3 linked regions of the Callithrix jacchus genome follow. The protein of the gene in region 2 purifies or fractionates together with the protein of the main gene of each other region. This does not show direct contact. Links are inferred from orthologs where the notes say so. Each region holds a gene or a part of one and is shown on either strand. Other genes may lie near its edges.

Region 1 (10,295 bases), on a different chromosome or scaffold from region 2:
GGGATGGGATCAACTGCACTGATAGAGTTGGCTTTAGTGGGAAGAAAAGAACTTTCACACTGACGCACAAGGGCAAATGGTATCAGTGAGCATCAGCACATCATCATCTTACCAGTAAAGGCAACAGGAAGTTGAGGGATTGTGTTGTTTCACTGCTATCTCATTATTCCCATTGAGAGTTGAACCTTGTGAAGGAGGTTCAGTCTTAGGATACTGAGAGTGCAGAATTTGGGGGAAAGGGAACCGAATCTCTCTTAAGAACATGTCATGTTCAATACACGTTTTTGAAAACAGAGTTGAGTTTGGAGAACACTGCCAGATCTGAGCCGACTATCTGATAACCTTCAGACAATAAATAAACTCTTAAAATGAACCTTTGTTTGTTTGTTTTTGAGATGGAGTTTTGCTCTTGTTGCCCAGGCTGGAGTGCAATGGTGTGATCTTGGCTCACTGCAACCTCCACCTCCCAGGTTCAAGCAATTCTCCTACCTCAGTGTCCCGAGTAGCTGGGATTACAGGCATGTGTCACCATGCCTGGCTAATTTTGTATTTTTTAGTAGAGACAGGACTTCACCATGTTGGCCAGGCTGGTCTTGAACTCCTGGCCTCAAGTGATCTGCCTGCCTCGGCCTCCCAAAGTGCTGGGATTATAGGCATGAGCCCACCGCTCCAGGCCTGTTGCTGGCCAACATGGTGAAATGCTTCTCTACTGAAAATACAAAATTTAGCCAGGTGTGCTGGTGGGTGCCCAGCTATTCGAGAGGCTGAGGCAGAAGAATCGCTTGAACCCAGGAGGCACAGGTTGCAGTGAGCCAAGATTGCACCACTGCACTCCAGCCTGGGTGACAGCAATATTCCATCTCAAAAAAAAAAAAAATTACTTTTGTCTTGATAAAGAGATCAAATAGCATGTAGACATACTCTTCTGCAGAGAGCCCTTTGAGGTAACGGCAGATCGCAGCTTACCTCTATAATCTTTTCTCAGCTGTTTGCTTTGCTCAGTTCTTTGAAGGATGTTTGGTAGATGTAAAATAATTCATGCAATTGTCTCATAAACTGCTTGGCAGGTTTAGAGGAATACCAGGGGGTCCAGAGACATCCTTTTTTCCATGTACAAGTGTTTCTTGTGGAGACACTACGGTGATTATTTTACAGCCTCAAAGACCTGCGCCTGTCATGCTGCTTTGCACAACAGCCACTGGGTGGCTCTCTTGACCAGCGGTTCTTCAAGCTAGTGCCACGAAAGGGTTAGTTATTGTGAAAAGGAGAAGGTAAACATGTGCTCAGTATTACTTGGGTTTTATATGTTCGAGCATAACATAACTACCTGTAAAACTATCTACCATCTAGGTATGATACGCTGAGAGTACCTCTCTTTATGATGCCTTTTGCCGAGATGTTCAATCATTCCTGTAACCAAAATTGGGTTGGAAATGTAGATGGGCAAAGCAGGCAGCAGAGATACCTGACCTACAACTGTGATTTGGTGTCTTGCTTTGGCCAACTAAGCAAAGTCGCTGAAGAACATAATAAAAGGCACTTATTTTCTGGTCAAAAACAGAATAAATCTGTCATTCGTAAGAATTCTTATCAAAGCATTTAAACTGAACTGAAATCAAAGACCAGTGCTCTATTTTACAGGTTTATTTAGAAAGGCTCTTAACTTATGCTGAAATCGACATCTGTCCCACTAATTGGAAAAGGATTGTTCTGGGAGCCATTCTTCTTGCCTCCAAGGTTTGGGATGATCAGGCTGTGTGGAACGTGGACTATTGCCAGATCCTCAAGGACATTACAGTTGAGGACATGTGAGTTTGTAAGGTTTTGGTGAACTTTCTAAAGTTAACACTTTAAGGAATATTTTTAAAGGTTATACAGATAACGGAAATAGGCATAAGACTTTGTCTAGCTTAATATAACAGTTCACAACAGAGCAAGAATCTGTCTCAGAAAAACCCAGCTTCACATTTTTCATCATTAATTGATAGGTTTTGTTGTGTAATAATCTGCTTGATAAATTGAAAAGTCTTTTTCTGGTGGTTTTTGGCAAACATCTTACAAGTGTACTACCAGAACAACATAGTACAGTAAATATCTTTATGGCTTTTAAAAAGTTATCTGCCAGTTCAAGCTCCTTTCTTTTTCATTTATTTATTTATCTTTTCTTTCTTTTTCTTTTTTTTCATGTGACCAGTGGGGTATAAACAGCCCCTAAAGGGCATATGTCTGGCCTTTGAAATAATTGGCCACTCTTAAGGTCATAGGGCCTCTGGACTGTTGAGAAGTTATAGCTTCAACCTGAGTCACACATTGTATATTTGCTTTTGCTAGTCTTTTTCCACATTTTATCTGAAGGTCTTTTTATAAAAGCCTTGAGATATGAAGATCCCTGTGGCCCTGACTCCCTCCCCATTAGGAGTGTTTCATGTGTTTTGAAATTGGTCTGATGATTGATGAAGCTCCGGTGTTCCCCTCAGGCAATCTGAGAAGCACTGCTGGGGCATCACCCAATGCTCACCACACTTGAGAGGCTCCCTGGGCACTCGGACAACCACAGCACCACTTTGGGGGCCTTGAGTTACCTATGAGAGTGTAAGAAGTCATGCTGAGTCATGGAGTTCCTCACAGATGGCACCAACATGACCCTGAAAGAGCGGCTTCATCAGGGCTTCCTTCCAGTCTGGCCTCATGACTGCTGTGAAGGGAAGGGCCTTGGAGCTTGGTAGGCAGCGTAAGCCAGGGAGGCATTTCCAGCAAAGACTCTCAGGGTACTCACTGGATAGTGAGAATGGCTTTGTGGGTGGCATTCAGAACAATGTGAAGGAGCACGTCTTGATTTCATGTTGAGCAGCAGAGGAAGATCGAGGTCAAGACAGGCAGTGGCAAGAGCTTGTTTTTATTGCCTTTGCCATTACTCCATATGACTGTCATTCAGAATTAGCATACCATATACTCACAACTGAAGTGAGGAGACTTGTGACTAAAAAGGAACCAGTAATTGTGGTAGCTGTTGAAGTGGCTTTTGGTGAAGTTAACCACTTTACTAATGATGTAAACCAAACAGCTGTGGTGATATTGCTGGTAGCCGTTTTAGCAAAGGATATGACAGCAAGTAACTTTGAAACAAATGTAAGTACTTTTGGAAGTTGCAGAAGCTAAAGTGACTTCGATCACTGCTGTCATCAGTCTGCAAACTAGTTTCTTGAAGGAAGCAAAATTTATAATTATGAACACTTAGCCATACCATGATGGCAGCTAAAATGTTCTCAAAATCTGCGACCGAACTGGCTGGGACTCTAGTTCTAAACCCAAGATCAGAGAACACACAGGGAAATGTGCAGGTTTCTACAGATGTGAGCTCCAGGAGCATCAGTGGCAGGGGCCAGCTCCAAAAAGACCAGTTCCAAAGACTAGTGCTATTTGTGTATGCCCAGGGAAGCACCAGGAGCTCTGCTACTAACACTCTACTTTTGTTTATGATCTTTGCAAAGCATTTCAACAAACGGTTTAATAAACATTTATATATTAAACAAATGTCATCCCCCTGCTGTTGACTATTTGTAGTGGTCTCATTTTGAGTCTAAATTTAAAAATTTTATATTGGTGCCTTTCAGGTTTTTCTTAAACTTTTTCAAATCTACATGTCATGTTAGAATATATTTCCCTTTAACAGAATAAGTTAAACTGAGCAGCTGCTATTCAGATGGTTTGCTGTGCCTGTAAAGGGTATGCTATTCAGCCATCTAGCCATTTAAAAAACAACAAAAAGCCTAGAAGATGCATATTCTATGGGCATAATGCTTTTCTTCAGTGATTAAACCCCTATTAATACATGTGTTAATCCTATGAAGTACTATATTTCTACACAGTTAAAATGTATTAGTGGAAAAAATATAAAAGGGATTGTGAAGTGCATTTATTACTGTAGTAAATTAAGTCCTGATTAGCTGATTATCAAAACATTATCTGATTTACATTTCTATAGACTTTCGGACGTATGAACAGGAAATTAATTTTGGAATTAGGTTCAGTTGGGTTTTTAAGCTCAGCAAATGAGAAAACCACATCTCTGCTCATATTCTAACTGCCCTCCATACAGGGGCTCATCAAGCATTTGTTGACCTAGCCAGTGGATAAAATATTAAAATTTTAAAACCAAGAAACCAAATATGTTGTTCAGGTATTTATCATTTTAATACAGTTAACTGTATAAAAGAGTTACTGTGGGCCGGGTGCGGTGGCTCACGCCTGTAATCCCAGCACTTTGGGAGGCCGAGGCAGGTAAATCACGAGGTCAAGAGATCGAGACCATCCTGGTCAACATGGTGAAACCCTGTCTCTACTAAAAATACAAAAAATTAGCTGGGCATGGTGGCGCGTGCCTGTAATCCCAGCTACTCAGGAGGCTGAGGCAGGAGAATTGCCTGAACCCAGGAGGCAGAGGTTGTGGTGAGCTGAGATCTCACCATTGCACTCCAGCCTGGGTAACAAGAGTGAAACTCCGTCTCAAAAAAAAAAAGAGTTACTGTCAAAGTGGTTAAGATTTTCTCTGGTTTTATGTTTATTTGCTTAAGCGTTTGGCAAGGGCAGCTCTGTGGTCATGTGGCTGAGGACTACAAGCACCTTAGGGTTTCATTCCCAACTCAGAAGAAATGCCTGAGTTTATAAATCCAGTGACCTACCAGAAGTCATATCAAAATGGGTTTAGTCTGGCTGAGACATCCACCTTTGATCCTTCTGCCTTCCAAAAGATGGAGAGGATCCTTACCCTGTCATAGTGACAATTTCTCACCTTCATAATATTAAAGTGAGCAGAAACTTTCATTATGCCCTTTGACATAGCCTCATGCACTGGAACAGGAGGAGAGGATTCCCTTCCCCTGTAATGTGGCTTGCTTATTTTATTTATTTGAGATGAATCCTTGTTGCCTCAAGAGTTTTTCCCCCTCAGAGATAATAGCAGTGGCTCTCGATGGATCCATTTGTTGCCGTGGTGATGTGCCCACTCCTTTTGTTGGTGCTTCTCTACTTCAATAAGCCCCTTCCTGTTATCAGCCCGGTGAAAATGTCTGCAAGTTCTTCAGAGCTAATAAACAGCATACATCATTCCTTTCATCTGATCACTATAGTGGGGCCTTGTGAGTGAGCATGAAGTATGAATTGTACAGCTGCACTAATGGAACTCTGAAGAATGAGGCCCGAGTCAGCAGCACAAGTGCATCAGAGGCCTTAACCTTCAACCCTCATCCCAATCCCAGAGTGCTGGGATGCAGAAGGAACCACAAGTAACTGTACCTTGTGTGAACATTAGTATGTTAATGCATCTGGGTAACCTATATTTTAAAACAGAGTTTAGAGCCATTCTTGTAGCTCTAAACTACGAGATATTTTTGAAGAGCGCCCAGTTGACTAACATTGTTCTGTTCTGTTCTTCCTCCTCCAGGAATGAAATGGAAAGGCATTTTTTGGAGCTTCTTCAGTTTAATATTAATGTTCCTGCCAGTGTTTATGCCAAATACTACTTTGACCTTCGCTCCTTAGCAGATGACAACAACCTGAATTTTCTATTTGCTCCTCTTAGCAAAGAAAGAGCACAGAACCTAGAGGTAAGTCTGTGAAGTCACTAAGTGGGGTTTTCCATCAGCCACCAAAGCCAACATCTGTGACTAAATCATATTAAGTAGTGATTAGGAAAATGGAAAGCTTTAAAATCAACTAGCACACTGAAGAGCTTATTAGCCATTTGGCATCAGATTTCCTGTGTCTTTTATGGTTTATACGAGGATCAACATTATTTTAAAATTATACATACTGCCTCTTCTGTGACCATAATTCCGAATATTTTCAATCAAATTTAATCTGTTCTTAATGGGTTTCCTTTTGAACTTGTATTCTTTCACATAATCATACATGAATAATTTTTTTTAGCTGGGTGCAGTGGCTCATGCCTGTAATCCCAGCACTTTGGGAGGCTGAGGTGGGCAGATCACTTGAGGTCAGAAGTTCAAGACTAGCCACTGGCCAACATGGTGAGACCCCATCTCTACTAAAAATACGAAAAAAAAAAAAAAAAAAAAAAGGGCCAGGCACGGTGGCTCTTGCCTATAATCCCAGCACTTTGGGAGGCCAAGGAGAGTGGATCATGAGGTCAAGAGATCAAGACCATCCTGGTCAACAAGGTGAAATTCCGTCTCTACTAAAAATACAAAAATTAGCTGGGCATGGTGGCAGGCACCTGTAGTCCCAGCTACTCAGGCGGCTGAGGTAGAATTGCTTGAACTCAGGAGGCGGAGGTTGCAGTGAGCCGAGATCAAGCCATTGCACTCCAGCCTGGGTAACAAGAGCGAAACTCCATCTTAAAAAAAAAAAAAAAAAAATTAGCTGGGCATGGTGGCACATGCCTGTAATCCCAGCTACTTGGGAGGCTGAGGCATGAGTGTTGCTTGAAACTGGGAGGCAGAGGTTGCAGTGGGCTGAGATCATGCCACTATACTCTAGCCTGGGTGACGGAATGAGACTATCTCAAAAAAAATTTCTTTGTGACTGTATTCCTAATTTTATCTTGACATAATTCACTTGCCACTCCTGACTTTTAATTATTTATTCTGTTAGCAAATTCATGTCATTGTTTATATATCACATTGCAGTCCCGTAAGTTTTTTAGACAGAGGATTAGTGGCTAAGCCAAGAGACCTATACCCTTCACTATATAGGGTGCAGGTGTTTCAAATACTGGATGTAAGGGCCGGGCGCTGTGGCTCACGCCTGTAATCCCAGCACTTAGGGAGGCCAAGGCGGGCAGATCACTTGAGGTCTGGAGTTCGAGACCAGCCTGGCAAACTTGGTGAAACCCCATCTCAACTAAAAAAAAATACAAAAATTAGATGGGTATGGTGGCAGGCAACTGTAATCCCAGCTACTCAGGAGGCTAAGACAGGAGAATCGCTTGAACGCAGGAGGTAGAAGTTGCGGTGAGCTGAGATTGTGCCACTGCACTCCAGCCTGGGTGACAGACTAGGACTCCATCTCAAAAATTAAATAAAAAATAAAAACCCATGTACTTCTACAATCCAGTATTTGCTTTTTTGTTTTTGTTTTTTGTTTTCATTTTTGAGACAGGGTCTCACCCTATTGCCCAGACTGGAGTTCAGTGGCATGATCTTGGCTCACCACAGCCTCTCCTCCTGGGTTCAAGCAATTCTCATGCCTCAGCCTCCTGAGTAGCTGGGCACCTGCCATCACACCCAGATAATTTTTGTATTTTTAGTAAAGACAGGGTTTCACCTCAGCCTTCCAAAGTGCTGGGATTACAGGCATGAGCCACTGTGCCCATCCAGAAATGGTAACTTTTATGGGGCAAAGTAATATTTATGGCCTAGTGAGTATACAGCAGAATTACGACTGAAATGAACACATATTTTAAACTGATACTTTCCGTGGTACCTTGGTAGTACTTTAGAATGATATGTATTTCTCCGCTGGGTGAGGTGGCTCACGTCTGTAATCCCAGCACTTTAGGAGGTGGATCACTGAAGTCAGGAGTTCGAGACCAGCTGGCCAACATGGTGAAACTCCGTCTCTACTAAAAATATAAAAAATGAGTTGGGCATGGTGGCACATGCCTGTAATCCCAGCTACTCGGGAGACAGGCTGGAGAATCGCTTGAACCCGGGAGGTAAACGTTGCGGTGAGCTGAGATCACGCCATTGCACTCCAGCCTGGGCAATAAGAGCAAAACTCCATTTCAAGAGAGAAAAAAAGAATAATACCTATTTCTACCATAATTAACGTGCAAGTGAAGTAGCACCTTTTTGTGCTTCAGTCGTTTGACCTCATATGTTCCTGTATAGTCCAGTGCACACCTGCCTCATTAAAATTTACTTTGAGTATATATAATAGCTAATAAGGATTGGGTAGATTTGAATAGCTGAATAAAATTTTTTTGCACAAGTGTATGCTCGTTATAGTTAAGGAGTAAGTGCACAGGTAACAGATGCTATTGCTGTTCGGAGCCTATCACAGTATCTTTGACATCTTTGGGAATGTAATTTTTTAATAACTTAATAAATTCCCTTTTGTTCTCTGGCAATGTAATCATAGCCCTTAAGGGATATTACCTTGGTGAATTGGCAGAAAGTAGCATCCCCAGAACCTGGCAGTGTAAAACAGCTCAAGTAGCTGTAACTGTGAACTATCTAAAGGAGTCCACATGTGTGGCTTTCATCAATGGTGCCTTTTTAAAGGTGGGAACCCTTTTTAAAATTGTACCTGTTTTCTATCTGATTGACTTTCCTAGGCTATTTCTAGATTGTGTGAAGACAAAGACTTGTGTAGAGCCGCTATGAGAAGGTCTTTCAGCGCTGATAACTTCATTGGTATTCAGCGCTCTAAAGCCATCCTCTCTTAAAGGGAGAAATGAGGGGTTATAACATCACAGGACCTTCATCTACAAAGACTGAAGAATAACACCTTTCCTGCTCAAGAACCAGCAAAATTAGTGTTTTCATCATTGAATTCAGGAGACACATGGACAACAAGGATTATACTCCATAGGAAAGAATGGGACCTTGTCAATGCAACAAAACACTCTTTTGTCCTTTTTAATGTAAACAGAGTTACAAAAACCACTCCAAAGTGAAGGCTCCCATCCCACACACAGATATTTGCTTACTGTGTGGGCCAATAGCTGTGAACTATGTAAGGTTTTTTTTAAACAATAGTTTAAATTTTTAGACTTTAAAGACACTAACCATATAATTTTTATGTTTCTTCCAGTTTTTCTCCCTCTCCTCCCTTTTACTGCATATGCCTTTAAAATCAATGCAGTATTACCATTGAAACATGGGACTCTAAAGCCACTAAGGAGCGGACTGCAGCATTGTTAGGTATTGAAGTGTTCTTCCTCCCTACTGTTACCACTGAAGCTGCTAGTCATTGGCAATCATTTTAAACCAAAAAGCTGCTGGATAACATTTGTCATTCATATTCTTTGCAAACATTACTTTAACATTTTAGCATGTTTGGGGTCATAAACAGGAAGTATCAGTTACTGATATCTACTTCTCTTGGGGTCCATGTTGCATTTCTTGTGAACTATAAATGGTGCTTCTCATTTTTCGATAATTTTTCTCTTGTTAAATAAATGTATTAAAAGATATTTTCATAATGCCAACCAACATGGTGGTTCAGTGACAATGAAAAAAATGTAAAGCAGTTTTAAGCTTTAATATAGTTTGGGCCCTCCAAGGCACTGCAGCATGAGTATAAATGCTATAAACCTTTAAAAGACATCGTTTGAAAGTGTTTTAAAGTTTTTAAGAGATGGGGGTCTTACTGTGTCGCCAGGCTGGAGTGAATGCCTGTTCACAGGTGCAATCATAATGCACTGCAGCCTAGAACTTCCTGACCTCAAGCTACCTTCTAGCCTCAGCCACATGAGTAGCTGGGACTATAGGCATACCCGGCACTTGTCTCCTGAATATTAAGCTTTTAATTTTTTGATTCAGTCACTCTTGAATATAGCAGATACTGACTGAAAGAAAAAATTAAAAGCTTTATATTCAAAATTTGCAAAATGAAGCTGGGTGTGGTGCATGCCTATAGTCCCAGCTTCTTGGAAGGCTGGGGTTAAAGGATTGCTTGAAGTCAAGTATTGAAGGCTGCAGTGTACCATGATGGTGACTATAGGAATAGCTACTACACTCCAACCTGGACGTCATAGCAAGACGCCATGTCTTAAAAAAAAAAAATGCAAAAGAAATGGGTTGGGCATAGTGATTCATGCCTATGATCTCAGTACATGGGAGGCTGAGGTGGGAGGATTGCTTGAGCATGAGAATTCAAGACTAGTCTAGGCAACATAGTCAAACCCTCTCTGTAAAACAAATAATAAAAATAATTAGCTGGATATGGTGGCATGTGTCTATAGTCCCAGCTACTCTGGAGGCTGAGGTGAGAGGATCACTTGAGCACAGGAGGTCAAGATTGCATGGGCCATGATCATGCCCCTGCCCTCCAGCCTGGGTGACATCCAGACCCTGTCTCAAAAGAAAAAAAAAGGAAACCAAACAAGGTTTTGTAAAGGTTTGTAGCGTTTATACTTTTACAAGTATCAAAGCTTAGAATTACACTAAACTTTTGGAATACCTTTTATCTCCATAAAATCCCTCCTCTTTTTAAAAGAAGTTACTTGCAGGACTGCGCTCTATATGCTTTGATCCCTGAAGTTTCTTTAATGTAAAGGAAGATTTTGAAGAGCAGTGTTAATTAACATGTAATAAAAGGAATTGGACCCT
Region 2 (10,295 bases):
GGCTGTCCTAGCTAAGGTGGTAAAGGCCAATAACTGTTCAGGCCGCCTCTCCTCGAAAAGTCTTCTCGCGAACCTTTAAAATTCCTTCCTTCCCAAGCACCTCAAGGGACTAGAACTGAGTGCTTCATTTGTGTTTTTCCTTTCTGCAAAAGTCCCGTTTGCCAACATGGGGATATACCAAATGAGACCGAGTAGGGGGAGCGAGTGGTGACTGATACTCCAGGTTACTGGCCGCTGCTCTCCTTGGCGCTAGCAAACTTCTGCCAAGATCGGAACTGAGTACAAAACAGCCTCCACACTTCTCCCTGGTGCCGTCCCCGGCCCGGCGCCGCATCCCCCAGTGGGCTCGCAATGGCCGCGTCCCCTCCCGCTGCGGACGGGTCCTTTGGTACAGGCAGTCCGAGGTGAGTCCCCTCCTCTCCACTTCACCCTGCCCAGCGCCTGCGTGCGCATGCGCGGAGCGCGGCGCGCGCGGCGGTTGGGCCGTTGGCTGTTCGGCCCTGGGATCTGCCGCGACTCTGCGATCAGCCGGCTCTGAGCCGCGAGTCGCCGTGAGCGCTCGGATTCGAGCCGGCGCCAACGAGCCCGGGGGCATAGCCCGCAGCGGCCAAGCTCATGGCCGGCTGAGCGGGACGCCGCCTCCGCCTCAGCCACCGCCGCCGCCGCCGCCTCCTCCTCCTCAGCCGGCGGCGGCCCGGGCCCAGCAACCATGGCCGAAGACTACTGGGACGGGCGCCTGCGGCGAACAGGAGGAGAAGGAGGTCGCGCGGCCTCATCCCGGGCCGCCGCCCCAGGCGCCGCCGCGCCGGCCCCGCGGCTCTGAGGTTGCTCGCGCGCCCCCGCCGGTGAGCGCGTCCCCGAGGCGTGGGGGCTGCCCCTCCTCCTTCAGAACCCACCCCGGGCGGTGCCCGGGGGTCTGGGCTGGCAGGTGCCCCCACCCCCGGCGAATTTCCCATAATGCACCGGGGCGGGGGGTCATTTGGGGCCTCCCTGACCTTGGCTCCGCCCTGGGCCCGTCCTGGGAGCTGGGGATGGGAAGTGCTGTGGGTGCTAATGGGGAGCAGGGGGAATCAAAGGACCAAAGGGTGTGGAAATGGGTGACAGACTGTGGGGTTGCTAACGGGGGTCGGGGCATGTGGCATTAAGCCTCACGACTGTGTAAGGTTCAAGGCCCGGTGTGTGCTTGCGGAAGGAGGGCGGGGTGCGGAGCGGGTGAGGGACCCGAGGGTGTATAACGGCGGGTAGGATGTCGAGGAAGTTCCAAGACATGCTTATAGGGGTTATGTCCGCAAAGAGGCCCGGTGTGTGTTTATGGGAGACAGGGTGGCACAGGTACCAGAAAGTGTGCTGATGGGATCAGGGCTCTGAGGCCTGGCACGTGGCGATGAGGGCCAGGATGGTGTTAATACTGCGTGTCTGTCCGTGGGGCCTGCGGTGTGTGAGAGTGCAGTGTGTGCTTGTGGAGGGCAGGTAGTTGAAGGACTCGAGTGTGGCGTGTGCGCCAGTGGGGGTCATGGCCGTAGAGGGTGTATGCCTGTGGCCACAAAGGTCTGGGTAGTTTGGGGCCCAGTATATGCTAATGAGGGCAGAGTGAGGAGGGACCTGAGGGTATCTAATGGCGGAAGGACGTGGAAGACCTGAGCCTGGCCTAAGGGAGATGAGAATTGTGTGTCTGCGGGCCTGGGAAGGGGTGGTGGGGAGGGAAGTGTCAGCACTGTCAGAGGCTCAGGGCACAAAGGGTCAAGGTGATGTGAGATGTGTGTCCATGAACACAGGGAATGTGAGTCTCGAGGGCACACTAGGAAGGAGCAGGATAATATAAGAAGTTCTGGTGGTTGCTAATGTGGGTTTAGAGCCATAGAGGCACTTCAGTGTGTGCCATCGGGAGAATCAGTGTGAGGTCTGGAATATGCTAATAAGCGTCAGAACCTAGCAAAGATTGTGCCTGTGTGTGTCTGCAGGGGACCTTGTGTCTGCCGGGGACCAGAGTGTGTTGAGGTTCCAGGGAGTGCTACTTGGGGGTAGGGCTGTGGAGGGAGTCTAGTGTGTAATAAGGGAGATCAGGGCTTTCATGAAGGGATCCAAGTATGGACCAACAGGGATTATATCTGGAGGGGTCGGAGCAGAGAGAAATAGACGACGGGAATATGTGATGATCTCGCTGTGCTAAAGTGGATTACAGCTAGGGAGGGCTGAAGTGTGTGCTAATGGGAGTCAGGGCTGAATGGAGACCTATGTGCACTAATGAGGGTCAGGCCATGGCAAAACAGTGTGTTTGTGTGTCCCTGGGGAATAGGGCTGAGTAGGGGTTCAGGGTGCACTGATGTGGAGGCAGGACTGTGTGAGGCCCAGTGTGTGCTAATGGGAATCAGGGCTGAGTGAAGGCTCAGTTTGTGCTGACTGAGGGGACAGGACAGTGGAAGGACTGGAATGTGTGTTAGCGATGGTCATAGCTGTGAAGGGGCCTGAGTGTGGGTAATACTGGTTAGAGGTCTATCTATAAGGTTTACTTTATGTTAATGGCATTCAGGGCTGTGTGAAGAAGGTCCACTGAGTGCTGATGTGGGTCAGCTATAGAGTACCCCAAGTGCATGTTAATAGAAGTCAGAATCATGTAGGGGGGAACAATATGTTAACGAGGGGGGTCAGTGCTACTGGCAAGAGCCAGAGAAGCTGGCAAGCAGCTAGGCCAGGGAGGGGCCCAAGAATGTAGTAGCAAGAGTTACTTAGAGGAGGCTGAGTGTGTGCTGGCAGAGTTCAGGGCAATATGTTGTGTGTTAGGGCTTTGAATGCTGATGGGTATATGAGATGATAGCAGGTAAGATGTAGTGAGGCCTCCTTGAGAGTCTAGCATGTACTAATGGGGATCAGGACATAGAGTGTGATGATCGAGTCCTTAGTGGTCAGTGTGGTGAGTATCCTTGAGCATGAGAGTAGGCTGAGGATGGGTATATGTCTTTGGGGATCAGAAGGGTCAGGCTGGACATATGCCCTTTTTGGGGTGAGGTTTTATGTCCAGTTTCTTGCTCTCTCCACTTTTTTGAAATCTAAAAAGCTCAGACAACTGAAATGATATTTAAGTTTCCTTGCATATAAACGTTCAAGTATCTTTGTTCACAGGGGCTTGCCTGAGCCCCCCCATCCCCCTTTCTGGGAGTGTTTGTTATGTGAAATACAGATTTTGTACCCCATCTTCCTAAAATTCCAAAAAAAACTGAACTCCAGAGCATGTACAGCCCTTGGGGTTTCCAGTTAGAGGTCGTGGTCCCATGGCTCCTGCTGGCTCCCTCCCCATCCTCCATTCAGCCCTACTTCCAGTCTCCCCCGGCCCCTCCCCTACTCCCTGTCACAACATGCAAAGCAATTGGGTATCTGTGCCATATGGGGACACAAGGTTGTCTTTGGGAGCTGGCCATGCTTTACCTTCCTCACCTTAGGTCCAGTATTCAGCATCCCAAGTCAGGATGTTTTGTTGTTATCCTGGGTTCTCCATGGTTGGACCCCATCTCTATCTGAGGTCTTTCTGCTAGGCTGGCCCCTACCCCTCCTGGGGATAGTGAATTCAGCCAGAGGGGAGTTGGGGTGGGAACTGCTGGGGGAAGCACCTTATTTCAAGGTAGCACATGACCCATTTCTCTCCTCAGATCCAGCCCTTCTCATCCTTGACCTCCTATCTAGCTCTACTTCCCTTGGGCCCAGGGCCATCTTAGGCCCTGCTGTGAGTCCAGATGGTTCCTGGGCCAGGTCTTTCCCCCTCCTTGCTGGCTCAGAGCCCAGGAGGAAGCAGAAGAAGGCTGGCCTAAGCCTTTTGGTGGCCCCATTCCCTTCAACAATCCATCTAGGTCATCTTCCTATTGATGCCAGCATCCTTGGGCTACCCTGTTTAGGGTTGTTCAATGAGTAGCAGGGACTCAACACCTTAGCAGAGGTTGGTCCTAGGCCCTCAGCCCTCTGATTCACTTTTTTCTGCCATAAGCACTTTTTGAGCATCTACTCTGTGTCAGTCACTATTCCAGGTCCTCAGGATATAGCCGTGATCTAAACACAGAAACCTACCCTGGCGGAGCTGATCTTCTAGTTGTGGCGGTGAGGAGATAGACAGTAAAGACTAAAGAAACCACCAATAAGTAGGTGGTATCATTTCTGAGGAGGTAATGAGTGCTGGGGGGATAACTGGCAAGGTGAGGGAGCTTGGGATGGTTGAGATTTTAAATAGGGTTATTCATGGAGGTCTCATGAAAAAGGTGACTTTTGAGCAATGGCCTGAAGGGAGAGGGGAGTGAGCCATTTCGAAATTTAGGGGAAGGGTGTTCCAGGTACCAGGAACAACCAGTGTAAAGGCCCTGAGGTGGGACTCTGCTGGGTGTGGTTATAGAACAGCAACTAGGAATGTTGGGGGGAAGGGGGTTCAGAGGTAATAGGGGCAAATGAGGTAAAGACCTGCGGGCCACATTGAGGACTGGGGCATGTATTTGGGGTGATGAGAAATGTAGTACATTCTTGAGTAGAGGAGAAATGTGACCTGGCTTGTAAAAGTCTGGATTAGACCCTAGGGGTCCTAACCTGATCAAACTTTTCTGCCAGCCCTGAGAACAGCTGGTGTACACTGAGACATCCCACCCCCCCAATAACCCCACTCAGTGGTTGGGTCTGGGCAGAACACCCTGACAATCCCCCCCCCCCCGCCCCCCCGGGTAGATCAATGGGATGATGCGGTGGTTGTCATGACGATGATTGCTAGAGGAGTCAGGAGGGGAGGGTCCCTGTGGGCACAGGGAATAGTCTGCCTTGGCCTTCAGGGGTGGTGCCAGGGGAACCATGCTACACTACAGGCGTGCTCGAGGCCATGTCAACCATCCCTCAGTTCTGGGCCCACGCCCTGTTCGACCCATGGCTGGCCCCGTCACTGCATCTGTACCAGAGAAGAACTGCTATGGAGCTTTCTCCTGCAATGAGGCTAGTCCCCTAGAGGCCAACCGTCTATTACTTGAGCCCTTGCCCTCAATCAGCCGCCTAAATACAAGAATTCAGGTGGGCTACTTAGGAACAGGGTTCCAGGGGGCTGGTAGTGTGGGTGGGCAAGTATTGACAAGGATCCCTGACCATGCCGGGGTTCCAGAAACCCCCAGTGGCTCTAGAGGGTCCATAGTGGTTGAGTAAGCACTGACAAATTCATGTCAGTGCTCCCTGCTAGGTTGTGGGCTTAAGGGGACCCATGGCGATCAAGCAAATGCTAATACGAGACCCATTTCCATCCTTGCCCCTTACTTAGATCGCCATGGATCGGATGAAGAAGATCAAACGGCAGCTGTCAATGACACTCCGAGGTAGCCGAAACATAGACAAGACCAATGGTGCCACTGAGCAGATAGGCCTGGATGAGAGTGGTGGTGGTGGTGGTGGCAGTGACCCTGGAGAGGCCCCCACACGTGCTGCTCCTGGGGAACTTCGCTCTGCACGGGGCCCACTCAGCTCTGCACCAGGTGGGTCCACTAGCTACTCCCTCTCCCGTATGACCCCAGGCTGCTTCCCAGGTGCTGCCTCTTGACCACATTCCTCATTTTCCTCTCTATTTTCTGTCCCTTCTCTGCCCGATGTGTGCTCTCTTCTTCCCCTTCCCTCCCATCTTCTCTCAACACCCTCTGTCTATCTGTCCATCTGCAATCCTTTCCTTGCCTTTCTGGCCAGGCCCCGTGGTGGGTGGCAGAGGGTGCCTTGCCTGACACAGCTGCCCCAAGGCTCCCTCTGCCCTTCTGCCCTCTATGGTGGCCACCTCAGGCCTCTGGTACCTACCTGCCCTGGGCCTGCCTTCCCAGGTCCCTTGGCTTATCCCCACCACCACCTAGCTACTGGCTCTGAGCTCAGTTTGTCCTTGGAAGAGAGGGTTCCACTAGGTGACTTTTGCACCCCCCCTCCCCCAGTTCAACCTGTCCTTAGATGTACCTGGGCCCCATCACCCTCTCCCTGAGGGACTCCAGGTTTGCTCTGGGGGCCATGTGTACACATGTGTGATGATGGAATATGTTTCATGGGGAAGGGGGTGTCCTGTGGTTCCTGACGCCATCTGGCCTGCCCTATCCCTCTCCCTGCCACCAGAGATTGTGCACGAGGACTTGAAGATGGGGTCTGATGGGGAGAGTGACCAGGCTTCAGCCACATCCTCGGATGAGGTGCAGTCTCCAGTGAGAGTGCGCATGCGCAACCATCCCCCACGCAAGATCTCCACTGAGGTGTGTAATGCCCTGTCTGGCTGGTGAAGGAGCTGGAAAAGAGGGTTGGACCTGGGGAGGTGGAGCTCATGATCCTGTTTCTCTCTCACCTTACCTGCTAGGACATCAACAAACGCCTATCGCTACCAGCTGACATCCGGCTACCTGAGGGCTACCTTGAGAAGCTGACCCTCAATAGTCCCATCTTTGACAAGCCACTCAGCCGCCGCCTCCGTCGTGTCAGCCTGGTAAGTGTCTTCTATTCCTGTCCTCTCCTTTTTCTCCTCCTCTCCCAGACCCTTCTCAGCCTGCTTCAACCTGCTTCTTTTGTCCCACAGTCTGAGATTGGCTTTGGGAAACTGGAGACTTACATTAAGCTGGACAAGCTGGGCGAGGTGAGAGGCAGTCTGGAGGCCCATGGTGGGGATGACCGTCAGTGGGAACTCCTAGAATCTCATAGCACCTCTCCTATCACACTTCCTTATATTCCAGGGTACCTATGCCACCGTCTACAAAGGCAAAAGCAAGCTCACAGACAACCTTGTGGCGCTCAAGGAGATCAGACTGGAACATGAAGAGGGGGCACCGTGCACCGCCATCCGGGAAGGTACACACCCCCATCCCATCTGCCCCAGGCTTCCCTGACCCACCCCATGGTGCACACGCTCCATAATGAGAACAAAGACTGGTTCTAGGACCCTCCCCCCCCCAAAAATACTCTGGCTTTCATGGGAATGCCTGTCACCTGCATATCCAGGTAATAATCAGGATAACCAGGAATCTGTTCCCATTTGGATAAAAGGTGGATGAATTGCAAACCAGGTTGCTAGCTTTGGTTCTGAGAACACCCCTGAAAGTAGTCACTAATTTATTTACAGCAACAATTTCTAGTCAGAATATCACATGGAATGAATTTGAATTCAATTTCACACAATGCTGCAGGCCTATGTACTGAGGGTTGGAGCCAGGCCCCTTCCCAGAAACCAAAAGCAGGTTGTGAAAATCTAGTGCCAAATGAGCCTGGAGCTGCAATCCCAGTCTTGCTCCATACTCTCCTCTGAGTCTTATTTTCTGCACCTGGCACATGGAGACACTTCTTTCTGGCATGAGGTGGGTTAGAGCTGGTGGCTCCAAGGCATTACCCTGAACTGTCTGGAGAAAGAAAACCTGGGCTTGTCCCTTTCTAGTCCTTGTCCTCACCTCTGTCCTGAGGGTAGGACCCTGACTCTTTCCCCTGTCCCACTCCCATGCTTCCTGCAGTGTCTCTGCTCAAGGACCTCAAACACGCCAACATTGTTACGCTACATGACATTATCCACACGGAGAAGTCCCTCACCCTTGTCTTTGAGTACCTGGTAAGGTTGAGTGGCAGTGGGTCCCAGGGGGAGGTGGGGAGAAGGCCAGGAGCCATAGGAAGTAACCCTCATTTCTGTACCACCTCTTCTTTCCTCAGGACAAGGACCTGAAGCAGTACCTGGATGATTGTGGGAACATCATCAACATGCACAACGTGAAAGTGGGTGTGGGGCAGGAAGCAGGGGCACAAGGGGGCCCCCACTCACCCACTCCAACCCACAAATCTCCCAGAAATGGACTCTTCCCTTTGGCTTTTTTTGCTGGGAGCCCTTGGAGGGCACTGGGACCCTGTCCTCTTTTGTGTGACAAGGCTCTGGGCCCAGTATCTGTGTTTGGGAGGGGAGCAGTGCCTGCCGGGGGTCGGGCTAGTGGATAGTCTTTGACCTCTGCCTGCCATTCCTGGGTCCCCAGCTGTTCCTGTTCCAGCTGCTCCGTGGCCTGGCCTACTGCCACCGGCAGAAGGTGCTACACCGAGACCTCAAGCCCCAGAACCTGCTCATCAACGAGAGAGGAGAGCTCAAGCTGGCTGACTTTGGTACCACTGGCCTCCCACTTCTTCTCATCAGCCCCCCAGCTTCCTACTTTCCCATGACCACTTAGTGTCATTTCCTTTTAGCCTCGCCAGATTTTGCCTAGGACATCATCGGTCCCAACTGCACTCTCCCCCAGACTTGGCCTATGACCTTCTCATTCTAGCTGTCCTTTCTGTGCTTCCCAGGTCTGGCCCGGGCCAAGTCAATCCCAACAAAGACGTACTCCAATGAGGTGGTGACACTGTGGTACCGTCCCCCTGACATCCTGCTTGGGTCCACAGACTACTCCACTCAGATTGACATGTGGTAAGGCCAGGTGGAAGTGTGGCAGGGACCATGTGGTAAGGGGGGTGGCTTGGTCACAACAGCCACCCAGCCAGCTGTCTCTCTCTTCACCATGCCCTCCCTGCTTAGGGGTGTGGGCTGCATCTTCTATGAGATGGCCACAGGCCGGCCCCTCTTCCCCGGCTCCACGGTGGAGGAACAACTGCATTTCATCTTCCGCATCTTAGGTGAGGAGGCATGGGCCCAAGGCACTGTGGAGACACACAGGGAAGACTTGTGAGATGTTTTGGGTAACTCCTCTACCCTACTAGGAACCCCAACTGAGGAGACTTGGCCAGGCATCCTGTCCAATGAGGAGTTCAAGACCTACAACTACCCCAAGTACCGAGCTGAGGCCCTTTTGAGCCACGCACCCCGGTGAGGCTGGTGGGTGGATGCATGTTAAGGGCCAGGGTGTCCAAACTCATTTTAAAGCAGGTTTCCTTGTCCTTGTGGCAGACTTGATAGTGACGGGGCTGACCTCCTTACCAAGCTGCTGCAGGTGAGACCACCTTGGGCCAGCATTGGGGGTAAGGGATTCAAGGTATGGGAAAACAGGGACTCCCCCGCAACCAGGGGCAGGATCTGAGGTGGGCAGGAGACCTACTCATTGAAGATATCAATACTATCCCCTACCTCCCCCCAACTCAGTTTGAGGGTCGAAATCGGATCTCCGCAGAGGATGCCATGAAACATCCATTCTTCCTCAGTCTGGGGGAGCGGATCCACAAACTTCCTGACAGTGAGTGGAGCTGGGGAATGGACCGGCCAGTGTGGGGACTGGGAAACAGGACTGCTGGGGCCAGCTGGTGGGTTGCATAGGATCTGGCTGTGCCACCTCTAAGTGGGGGGACATCTTGTTCACATAACATTTTTTAGTTTTCAGTTCCTTTTACCTTTCATGAAAAATTTCAAACATACATAAAAATATATGTAATAGCACTTTACCTTTTTTAAGTAGACATTTCCTTACATGTGCTAAAAAATGCACAAATCCTAAGTATGAATTTTCATAAATGAAACACATTCTTATAACCAGCACAAAAGTCAAGAAACAGAATGTTAGAAGCTCCTCGCCCCCAGCTCCCTTGCATCTCCTTCAGTTATTCCCAGCCCCCTCCCAAAGGGTGGCCTCTGTTTTGACCTCTAACAGCAAGGATAAGTTTTTTCTGTCTTTGTACTTTATAGAAATAGAATCACATGTGATGTTCTCTTTTTATATCTGGCTTTTAAGAACTTTTTAATATGGATATTTTCAAATATATGTATTTATATATTGGTCAAAAGAATGTGATGAGTCCCTAAGTACTCCCACGAGTCAATAAGTGGTCAATCTGGTTTTATCTATATTCTCTCTGATTATTTTGAATCACATCTAATCCCAGACTCATAACATTTATCCCTCATTTCAGCATATACCTATAAAAGATTTTTTTAAAACAGTATTATCAAACCTACAAAAAATTTGCCTACTTATCTCCTTACTGGATTAATATATAAAGCAAATCCCAAACACCACCCATCACCTAGACTTAACAGGTGGTAATTGCAATACCATAATCCATTTTTCAAAATTAATGTTGATTTCTTTGTGTTGTGTAATAGGCCATATTTCATCCTCCCTAGTTGTAGCTGGTTTGTGTATGGAATTGTTTGACAGATGAAGGTCAAGCCTCTTAAAGAAGGGGCAGCTTTTTCTAATTCCTCCAGTGGAGTTTTGTGGGGCTGGTCCTAGATGACCTCATGGGTCATCCCCTACTTCTGTCTCCTCCATCTGTAGCTACTTCCATATTTGCACTAAAGGAGATTCAGCTACAAAAGGAGGCCAGCCTTCGGTCTTCATCAATGCCTGACTCAGGTGGGTGCAGCCCCT
Region 3 (10,864 bases), on a different chromosome or scaffold from region 2:
GATGAGTCCCTGAGGCTTCTAGTTTCTCTGGCTGTGGAGTCCAAACACCATGTAAGACACTTCACATGTCAGACAAGAAAACCAATATAAGTGACTACGTTCATCATTGCAGATGTTCATCTAGTACTTTTTGGTTAACTAAGCATTTGAGTCTCAACTTGATCCCGAAGGATGTAAGGCCACAGCTAAAGTCATTCATTGAAAGAAACAAGGGAAAAAGATTAAACACAGCACATTATTAAACAGATCCCCATTAGCCAGGGTTTCCTGTCGGCCTGGCTGTGTTTTCTCTTGTTATGCTTTAAAACGTTTACGTTTCATTTCAGGACTTCGCCCTATCTGCTACCTCTCAGGTTAACCTACAAACAAAGACAAAAAGATTCACATCCATGCTGCTTTCATTATTACAAGTCCTCTTCATTGTCTCCTTGCCTCCTGTTTCCCCTCACCCAATAAACACACTTGATGATGTTCTCACTCACGTCCTTCAGTGGTTGGTTTCACCCAACAAATTCATTCAACAAATACAGTATTTTCAAGGAATCAGGTGCTACTCTAGGAACTTGGGTTACATCAGTGAACCAAACAATAAATGTTCTATTGGAACTTACATAGCAGGTGAAGGTAGCTATTAGATATGTTTACACTTATATAGTATATCATGAGGTGACAGGGAATAAAGAAACAGGAGTCAGGGAATGTGCACTGGGATTGCCAGTGGGCAGCAGGAAGGATGTTTAAAGGGGGTGATTGGAAACGCCTCCCTGAAAAGGTGAGGCTTGAACCAAGGCTGCAGGCGATAAAGGGACTCAGCCAAGACGGCACATGGAGAACAGAGGAAGAGAACAGGGGTGGAAGTTGGTATCTGGCACGTTCCAGGAAGAGCAGGGAGGGAGACCAATGTGGCTGGAATGAGCAAGCGACAGAGTGAGCTGATGGCAGGCAGATCACAAGGGGTCCTGGAAACCACTGTAAGGCTTTTACTTGTGCAATGAGAAGTTGCTGCCATTTTTGAGTGAAAGAATAAGAAGTTAACGCTTTTTAAAGGATCTCTGCCATGGCTGTTGTGTTGAGAACAGACTGGAGCAGGCGAGGGTAGAAGTAGGGAGACCAGGTGGGCTGGGAGAGACAGCAGCTGCTTAGATCTTCAGAAGAGCAGCAACAGAGGTGTTGAGAGTGGTCAGCGACTGGATATATTCCGAGGACCCAGGGCCACACCTTCCTAGCAGAAAGGATACAGGACGAGGGAGAAATGAGTTGTCAAGGATAACAGGTAAGCCATCAGAATGAAAAGAATGAAGTTGCCATCAACCATTTTGAAGTAAAACCCTACCAGGACACTATGGCACAGCTGTTACAAGTGTCCTGATTTATCTGGTCTCCTCACATTTTAAATTCTCTTTAGACCCTCCCTCCCTTTTTCCTCCCACAGAAATAATCTAATCATGGAAGTGTGGACTGAATAACTGTTGCAGACAGAAGAGTTTCTCTTTGATAAAGTATGGATACGAAATGACAACAGACACCCTATCCCAGAAGGCAACCGCAGACTAGCTAATGTTTGATGGCTAAGTCAAGCAACAATGGGAAGTTCCCATTTGCCACGTATTGACGTGTGACTCTGGACAAGTCATTTCTCCTCTCTCCTCTCATTTCTTTGTTTTAAAGTAAGGATAATATTACCCATAGAGTTACTGTGAGTTCTAAGTGAATGAACAGAATTCAAGTACTCAGAGCGACAGCTGGTGGCAGCTGGTACAGGGTAAGTAATATATAGGTTGCAAGTGGCTGGGCGTGGTGGCTCAAGCCTGTAATCCCAGCACTTTGGGAGACCGAGGCGGGTGGATCACGAGGTCAAGAGATCGAGACCATCCTGGTCAACATGGTGAAACCCTGTCTCTACTAAAAATGCAAAAAAAATTAGCTGGGCACGGTGGTGTGTGCCTGTAATCCCAGCTACTCTGGAGGCTGAGGCAGGAGAATTGCCTGAACCCAGGAGGCGGAGGTTGCGTTGAGCAGAGGTTGTGCCATTGCACTCCAGCCTGGGTAACAAGAGCGAAACTCCGTCTCAAAAAAAAAGAAAAAAAAAAAAAAAAAATATATATATATATATATATATATATATATGTTTCAATTATTATTATCATTTTTTTCCTAAAGAATTGTTCTGAAAATTACTAACATTATTGTTATGTATTGTTGTTTTTTCTTAATCTCTGAATGATATTATAAGAAATAATACCTGGGGAGCATGAGTCTAATATCAATTTCAAAAATAGGAATAACCTAACACTAATATACACTGAGAACAAAGACACATTAACTTGACAGTAAGCACCATAGACACCTAAGTACCCAGACACTAAAATTGCCACTGAAATTCTATAGGACAAATATTACCCCTTCGTGTGTCTGGTGGCAGAGGGGAGAAAACATGGATATATATGTTGTATCTCTGTGATTTAAAGACACTAACCTATTATAGAAGACCCATGAATTTCTCCAAACCTTTCTACATCAGCTGGGTGGTACGTATTTCAGGACATACAGAAGATGGTACTTGTGTACTTCAGCTTTTGATATATTCTAGAATCAATAATTCTTATAGTTTTAAAATGTTTACTAATAACCTAACAATCAATACAACTCAGTTCAAATACATACAGATACACATAGGCAAATACAGACATACGGATGTGTGTATATGTCACATACGTATGTCTATATGTCTATATTTGCCTATCTGTCTCTGTAGGTGTATATATATATACACATCTGTATGTCTATATTTGCCTATCTATATGTATATATATACATACACACATACTATTTAGCTAAAATCTGTTCTCTTCTCTTAACCTCTAATAATGAATTTCTACCAAAAATGTCCCTGAACAGCAGGTAACACTTCCAAGATTTGCCCAGCCAACAATTCTCAACTCTACCTGCATCTCAGAATCACCCTGGAGAGATTTAATTAAATATATTAATGGCAATGTCCAACACTAGATTTCTGGTTTAACTGAAACCAATGTCAATGTCGAGAACTGCCAGCTGGGTCAATGCTAGAAGTATTATTTATTGAATTTGAGAGACAGACAGTTAATTAGTATTTCGGGGTTTAAACTAGCATCATATGAACTGGGATCTGAGATGAGAGGGCACCACCCCACAGCCTAGATTGGAAACCTGCCCTATAGTCTCTCAAACTATCCTGAATCTCCAAAACAGTCTTCCAAATGTTCTCTTGAAAATACCTGATGACTGAAACTTAAGTTTTAGTTGAAATGAAAGAACACTCAATACTATTTCACTGTACTCTGGCAAAATCATACTAAGCCTTAGTGCCAAATACCTGGTTACCATTATTTTTTCCACCTTATGTCCTTACAATAGTTAAAATAACTGTATGCAGCCTGGCTCTAAGAAATGTGAATCTTCTTCCGTTTTTTTTCTTTCTTTTTTTTTTTGATCCATCATTCAAAATAATTTTTGAATTATTTTTTATGCACAACATAAAAAAGAAATTATTTACAAATGTTTTCACCTGTCAACATTGTACAGGACTGAGTAATGGCTTTCTGTAATAAACTCACTCATTTACTCTGCCCTTTAAAATGCAATATTTACTGAATGTTTATTATATGCTAGACTTTTCTTTCAAGTGCTAGAGGCTGTGAAAGTGATTGAGACAGATGGGGTCTTCATCCTTCTAGATGCCTTTAAATGCATAAATTTAAGAAGAAAGTATGGCTGTAGTTCAAAGCCATCTAAAGAGTATGTTAAAAATAATGGAAATCTAAAATAACAACACTAGAAATGTCATATGGAATCATAATTTACTAAGCGCGTACTAAAAACCGGACTGTGTTAGTCCCTTTCTACATGACACTTTTTTAATAAAGATGCTCTCCTAAAAAGATGAAATTACCATTTAGAAAAAATCACACGAAAACAAACGAGATAAATATTTTCTTTAGCAGAGTTTAAATGTGGCCTTTCCACAGTAGAGAGAACACTCCATCCTAAAGACGATAGAAAACAATTACGAAGTTGTGTCCATTCATTGACACAAAAATTTTTCCGTATTAGTTCAACTAGATTAATCATGAGAAGACGTTTCGGTTAAGAAAAATCACGTTGTCATAAAAAGATATTTCCAATCTCAAACCTTTTAAGTTGAAAATTCAGTCAACGATATTTTAAGCTTGATGCTTAATGATATCACTGGGCCACAGGGCTAACAAAACGTTGCCAAACCAATAAAATAAAGCATTACTGGGTGCAGTAATTAATCTTAGCTTTTCTTTTTGCAAACTCCAATCCAACCAAAAGTGTGGACGAAGCCCCGGTTATGAATTCCCAAGTAAATCAGAAATTCACAGGACTGCAATTCGAGTCCAAGCAAAAACTGTGTGACTTAACCCAAAGGTGTCTGACAATCTTTTAAAGAGCATTCTCGGGAGAAGCGATTTGCCTCTAAACCGGGAACCGCCACCCCCCCCAAAAAAAAAACCCTTTTAAAAAAAAAACTTTTTAAAGAGAATGGTAACGGAGGTCAGTCAAGTGGAGTCCACTTGTAAGGTTCCGGGGAACTGACTTAAGTCAACACGGATCTCCAACTCCAGGTTGGAGACACCGGGACTCCAAAACGGGAATCCACTCCCACCGCTTTTGCAAGACAAACCCGTGCACAACTTGGCTTCGGGCTGCATTCAGGCAGTGCCTGTTCCGGGCCGCCCCCGCCCAGCGCTGGCCGCTCCTCTGCGGACGAGGGCCGGCCCCTGTCACCCCCGCGACCTACACGCACACACTCGCCCCCGGCCCGCCGCGCTCCGGTGCCACGGGCCTGCAAAGTTTCCGCGGCCGCTCACTCGGGGATAACCAGCGAGGGGTACGCCCGGAGGCTGGGGGACCCCCGGCGCCTTGGCTGCGCGGACGAAGCCCCGGTTGTGCACGCGTCGCCGAGAGCGGCTGGGCCGGCAAGAGCACGCGGGCCGCCCCTACGCTGGGTGTGCGTCTGCAACCGCGGGGCGCGCAGGGCTCGGCGGGCCGCACTCACCGTCGATGTTCTCCCGGTCGCTGATGTGCTGCAGGTTGCAGCCCGTGTCCTCGCGGCTCAGGTCCGTGTCCGGCCGGTAGGACTCCAGCCGGGAGTGGGCATTCCTCCGGAGCTTGGGGCTGGACGACACGCAGCACGAGGTAGTGTTCCCCATCTTCGGCGGCCCCCGACTCCAGCTGCGGTCCTGTTCTCCCCGACCCCGGGAGCTGGGCGCAGGCAGGCGCGGGGCGCGGGCGGCGGGGGCGTAGGGGGAGTCCCGCCCGCTCGCCGCCGCGGGAGGGGGCAGTAGCCACGGCCGGCCGCCGGGTCAGCAGCGGCGGCGGCGGCGGGGCCTCGCCATGGGCGGCGGCGGCGGCGACGAGCGGGCGGCGGCCCCGGCTCCCCCTCGGCCGGCCTATCCGCGGCGGAGGAGCGCTCGGGTCCGCGCGACTGCGGCCGCAGCGCCTAACTCACCCCGCCGCGGCCATGGCGGGCGGCGCCGCGCAGGCCGCCTCCCCCCGCGCTTCTCAGTCAGCGTCCCCTTCCCCGGCGGCGACGGCGGCGGCGGCCTCGACAAGAGGTTCCGGTTCAAGCCGGGGGCACGCGTGTCCGCGCCAGGCAGCGGGGCGAGCCGACGAGTGGGCAGGCAGCGGGCGTGGAAGCAGCCCCTGAGCCCAGCGCGGCGCGGCACGGCCGGGGAGGATGTTGGCGGCCCTCCCCCTGGCGGCGCGCGCCCCCTCGCCGCATTCCCCGCCCCGCCCCGCCCCGCCCCTTCCCTCTGCCCTGGAAGCAGATCGGCGGCCGAGGGGAGGGCCGGGGCGGCGCGGCCCTATGCGGGTGAGGGGTCGCTACCCGCGGCCGCGCCTCTAGCTGGCGCTGGGGTCGCGGGAATCGTCGGCGGGAGCTCGAAATCTGGAGGCCCTTCCCCGCCGGGCCTCGGCCTCCTCCACTCCCCCGGGCCGGACAGGACGGGGCCTAGCGCGGGATGCGAGGTGCGTCCCCGCGGCCCGCAGCGGGCCGGAGCTCAGCCTAGGCCGGGAGGAGGATCCGGGCCCTGGGCACCGAGGCTGCGCCTGCCTCTCCGAGACCGGGCTGGCTCTTTTTTTTCCTCTTCTTTTTCTAATTTACTTTTTTAGGGAGAAGATTTCGCTCTGTCGCCCAGGCTGGAGGACAGTGGCGCGATCTTGGCTCACTGCAGCCTCGAACTCCTGGGCTCAAGCGATTCTCCTGCCTCAGCCTCCAAAGTAGCTGGGACTATAGGCTCGCGTCACCCCGGCTAAGGTAGGGGGGCGTGTGTATGTGTCTCCACCCACTCCTGGCTAAGGTGGGTGTGTGTGTGTCTCCAACCACACCTGGTTAAGATAGAATGTGTGTGTGTCTGTCTGTCTCCAGCCACGCCCGGCTAAGGTGTGTGTGTGTGTGTGCGTGTGACACAGTGGCTAAGCGATTCTCCCTTGTGTGTGTGAAGGTAGGGTGTGTGTGTATGTGTCTCCGTGTGTCTCCAAAGTAAGTGATTCTCCCTCCTCAGCCTCCAAAGTAGCTGGGACTACAGGCTCGCGTCACCCCGGCTACGGTAGGGGGGCGTGTGTATGTGTCTCCACCCACTCCTGGCTAAGGTGGGTGTGTGTGTGTCTCCAACCACACCTGGTTAAGATAGAATGTGTGTGTGTCTGTCTGTCTCCAGCCACGCCCGGCTAAGGTAGGGGTGTGTGTATGTGTGTGTGTCTCCAAAGTATCTAAGGTAGGGATGTGTGTGTGTGTGTGTTAACTTTTTGTAAGGAAGGCATCTCATAGCCCAGACTGGTACCGATTTCCTGGCTTCAAGTAGTCCTCCCGTCTCTGTCTCCCTTGGGATTACAGGAATGGGCCAAGGTGCGGGCCTTTTTTCTTTTGTTTAGTTATGTATTTGGTAAGCATTTAAAAGAAGCTAGGCCTTGATGTGGGAGTTCTCTCTTCTATTATATTTCGAGCTTTGCCGAGGACTTGAGGATAATCTTGTTTTAAGGCCTGAAATAAATCTTGGGGTCCTAGAGCTATTTTAATGTTGAATTTGCTGTGGAGTGTTTTGAGTTCCTTGGAAGTTAACCTGAGGTAGAGAACTAAGGTAACACAACGCATTGACTGCCCTAGTTTTGCTTTTAGAATGCCATCAGGTTTTGTCGCTTTGGGAACAAGTTAACTTAGGCCAGTTGACTAGGATAAAGGTATGTGAACGAGCCTGGCTCAGAGGAAAGTCCAGTAAATGTTGGTTCGAATCCCACCCAAAGCCCACAATGCCAGCCATCCCTGACTTTTCTTGCCTTTATTGGGAAGGATATAAGGTGCAGAAACAGCCTTCCCACCCTTTTTTCCAAATATGTACTAAAGGAGTCATGAACAGAGGCTGGTAGGGGGCTGGGAATATCTTTGAACTAGTTCTCGGAAAAAAAAAAAAAAAACCAGCACAACTATCTTAATTTTAAATATGAGAAAACTGAGGCCCAGAGAGATGAAATCATGCCTTCTTCAGATCTCAGCACCTGTTAGTGACAAATCCAGGTACTAAAAGGGAAGAGAAGATATAAGGGACTTAGTATTTATCTAGCATCAGCAATGTGTGGCCATCTTGTGAAAGGCTTTATAAACATTTCATTTAATTCTCTGCATCTAGCCATTTTTTAACCTGTGCTTTCCCTCCTTCTCACAGGACTGTTTGTACATTTATTAGTCCATATTTTTATTTTTTAGATTTTTTTTTCTCTTAATTCCTTCAGCATAGTCCAATTTTTAAAAGCTCCATCCTCTCAACTGTGTTAATGCTATTTGTTAGGATAAGTGACAAACGTCCCTGGAAAATAAATGGCTGCAAAGTGGTCATGCTGACCAGATGAGAGAAGAAGTATAAAAGGGAAATTCTGAAGAATGACAGCCCTGGAGAGGGTGGGTAGACAACAACAGTACAAAATAGTGCCCTTCCCTTCCTCCTCCTGCTTCCTGGGAAAACTGATTGGGGCACATTCACAATTGCATGTGTGTATTCAGATTTTCTGTGCTATGAAGGTTGGGTCGGATGGCTGAACCCTTGGGAGAGGAGTTCCCTTGTCTGTTCTGATTGCTGCTTTGTACTTTGGGCCATATATGAAAGTCAGCATCCAGTCAATGAAACATCGGAATGTGGTGTATCTACTCAGGCGCATTAAGCAATTTTTATTTCATTATAAAATGTATAACATTTACATTCAAATTATGGTTTCTGAAGGCCTTAAGAGAAGAAAGAGACAATGACACTAAGGTGACAGCATGGCTGGCTGCATGCTCTCTGTCCGAGCAGGTCGCTGGGCAGTGTTAACTGGAGAGAGCATCTAGAGGACTAGAGATCAGTGTAGCCACGTACCCTCAACAAAGCGTGGTACAGCCTCTGGTCTGCCAGGATTCCCACCCCCCACCACCCCTACCTCCTCTGACATTTCTACCATATTCCCCTTAGGTATGTACCTGCACTTACTGAGGTCAGCAATTCTGGAGAGAAAAGATATGTACTAAAGCCTCGCTAGTGGTTTACCTGGGTGCCGACTCCCTCGATGCACCCCACATGCACACTTCACACTCCTCCAGGCAGATGCTCCCTCCCTGACACACAGTGACACTTTGGGGGAAATTACAGAACAGTAACCAACTATGAACAGAGAAATGTGATGTCAAAATGATACTAATGAGAGATGTCATTTCTTGAAAGCCTGCTAGCTGCCATGCACTGTACTATTTCTAACATCTAAATCTGATAAGTTGTACCCCATTTTATAAATAGACCACTTTAACTTTGGTAAGTAAACCTATGCAAGATCAAAATACTGAGAAATGTCCTAACAGGATTTGAACCTGGTTCTAATTTCAAAGTCCAAGCTACGTCCACCCAAACCTCCTACCTGCCATCTCCAGGACTTTGTGAATGGAAAAGCAAGTGTTACTTCTCTCCTCTTTTTCTGCCCTAAAGAAAGCTGGGAGCTGACTGCTTAGGACTGGTACTAAACTTTAAGAGAGAAAAGGATGAGGGGAGCCTTGTCATTTCTGTGGGGCTCAGCCCTCCAACCAGAGTTAAGAAGATAGGCAACAAGGTTGAGGAATAGCCATATGCAGAAACAACGTGAGTATCTAGCCACAGCATCTCTAATACTGTGTCACTCGGGAATCTGAATGCAGGGACGGTTCCTCAGCAGACTGTGGATCTAGCCCAGAGTGTGGACTAGGGGAGTGGGAAAGGGCAGAGGTATGCACCAAGCACTGTAACAAGGCCTGTCCTCCAGCCTGAGGAGGGTTGGGAGGATGGCTTGAGACTGGGAGCTGGAGGCTGCAGTGAGCTGTGATTGCGCCACTGCACTCCAGCCCAGGTGACAGAGTGAGACCCTGTCTCTAAAAAAAACAAACCAACCTGGATCTCATACCCACCCTGCTCTTTGAGCAGAAGGAATCATTTGAGAATTATTTTGTCTCATCTTCCTCCTTGATCACTGTTGAAGAATTTGGACACTGTAAACAGGTAAACATAAAACTTAGGTGAACTCTAGCTAAGTCGGTACTCTTCACACTTTTTTGGCAATAGTAGCTTTGTTTTTCACAGAAAAAACAAATTTTCTGTGGAACCACACTATTTAAAACATAAGCAGTATTAGTATCAACTTAAATAATTTATAAAAACAATCAAGAATAGGCTACCTTAATTGAATCAGGAGATAATTGCAGTCTTACATCAGCTACACTCATATCCATGAAATATGAGTCAGTCATTTGCACAACTCCCTGAGTCACCTCCTGGAACACAAAGCACTGAGCCAAGTTAGCCCAGGACCTGAACCTGAACCTGAAGGAAAATGTGTATTGTCTCCTTGGGGTATGGCTGCCCTTTCATGTGGTAGTCAGTTCCTCATGTCAGTTACTCAAGCATTTCTAAGGCAGTTGTGGCGTAACCAAGACCTTCTGTGTGTTGTGCTACTGCAGTTCCTCCTGTCACCGACCTCTCCTTCAAATGGGGCCTGCCTTTTGCCTTTGGTGGTAGGCAGTCCACAGTCTAAGCAGCTACTGGGAAAGTATTTACTTTGATAGCACTTGACCTTGATTGAGGCAGGTGACTCATTTATGGATAACATTTTTGAGGATATACTGAGCCAGGCATTTTGAGGATACAAAAGTGGATAAGATACAGTTTCCATTCTGGGGAAACTCACAGTCCAGTAAGGTAAACAATCACAAGAACAAGTTGCCAGCAGTGAGAGTGATTGCAGCCACTGAGTGGTGAAATCTGAGGAATGCCAAGCCTGTTGCCTATAAATATCTACATTTATTGCCTGTGCATATACCTAAAATTCCACCATGAGAAATTTATTTCCATGAAATTAGGAACTACCCAGAAATCCTCTGTCCAAATAAAAATTCCCACCAGAAAATAAGGATGGCTGATAGATTTAACTAGTAGTACCAAGTCTTTTGGACCAGAGGAACTGCCAGGGACAGTGTGTTGAGGAGGATTCTGAGGTCATGTTTCAGCTTGGCAGAGAAGGGTGCTGCCATGAGGGAAGGAGGGAGGGAGGGTAGCTCTTCTGCCACATAGTTTTTCTTAAGTTAAACCTTTGTTCGTGGAATGCATGACGAAACAGGGACAGCCAGGGTCTCTGGCATCTGGGAGAAAGCCCACTTGGAAACTGATTTATCTACCTCACCACTGCAAGTTCACCATCTGTCCCCAGGCTAAATGGCCTTAGGATGCCCAGTCCCTCCCTTGCCAAAGTCTACCTTCTTTATGCTTCCTTTTCAAGAAGTGAAATGGGGTGTGTGCGTGTGTGTGTGTAT

Evidence for each region.
Region 1: the proteins of CDK16 (region 2) and CCNYL1 purify together in Homo sapiens (affinity purification with mass spectrometry; 4 studies listed by BioGRID and IntAct, counting the BioPlex papers as one, with this or other methods). This does not show direct contact. The link is inferred for Callithrix jacchus from reciprocal best matches to the Homo sapiens genes CDK16 and CCNYL1.
Region 3: the proteins of CDK16 (region 2) and CCNY purify together in Homo sapiens (affinity purification with mass spectrometry; 3 studies listed by BioGRID and IntAct, counting the BioPlex papers as one, with this or other methods). This does not show direct contact. The link is inferred for Callithrix jacchus from reciprocal best matches to the Homo sapiens genes CDK16 and CCNY.

Annotation. Positions count from the first base shown.
Region 1 is NC_133507.1:129,212,728-129,223,022, forward strand, and holds part of CCNYL1 (cyclin-Y-like protein 1), read left to right. Parts: intron 1-1,641; coding exon 1,642-1,808; intron 1,809-5,443; coding exon 5,444-5,606; intron 5,607-8,296; coding exon 8,297-8,407; 3' UTR 8,408-10,295. UniProt on the Homo sapiens protein: Key regulator of Wnt signaling implicated in various biological processes including male fertility, embryonic neurogenesis and cortex development. Activates the cyclin-dependent kinase CDK16, and promotes sperm maturation.
Region 2 is NC_133524.1:48,179,363-48,189,657, forward strand, and holds the start of CDK16 (cyclin-dependent kinase 16), read left to right. Parts: upstream 1-449; 5' UTR 450-845; intron 846-4,004; 5' UTR 4,005-4,818; coding exon 4,819-5,031; intron 5,032-5,272; coding exon 5,273-5,483; intron 5,484-6,096; coding exon 6,097-6,230; intron 6,231-6,331; coding exon 6,332-6,457; intron 6,458-6,547; coding exon 6,548-6,604; intron 6,605-6,701; coding exon 6,702-6,816; intron 6,817-7,469; coding exon 7,470-7,564; intron 7,565-7,662; coding exon 7,663-7,725; intron 7,726-7,976; coding exon 7,977-8,100; intron 8,101-8,283; coding exon 8,284-8,404; intron 8,405-8,512; coding exon 8,513-8,610; intron 8,611-8,694; coding exon 8,695-8,800; intron 8,801-8,881; coding exon 8,882-8,924; intron 8,925-9,073; coding exon 9,074-9,164; intron 9,165-10,202; coding exon 10,203-10,280; intron 10,281-10,295. UniProt on the Homo sapiens protein: Protein kinase that plays a role in vesicle-mediated transport processes and exocytosis. Regulates GH1 release by brain neurons. Phosphorylates NSF, and thereby regulates NSF oligomerization. Required for normal spermatogenesis.
Region 3 is NC_133508.1:34,931,063-34,941,926, reverse strand, and holds the start of CCNY (cyclin-Y), read right to left. Parts: upstream 5,401-10,864; 5' UTR 5,217-5,400; coding exon 5,063-5,216; intron 3,877-5,062; exon of another isoform or gene 1,010-3,876; coding exon of another isoform or gene 985-1,009; intron 1-984. Other genes in the region: uncharacterized protein LOC103794173, read left to right, coding at 5,401-6,033, 6,178-6,321. UniProt on the Homo sapiens protein: Positive regulatory subunit of the cyclin-dependent kinases CDK14/PFTK1 and CDK16.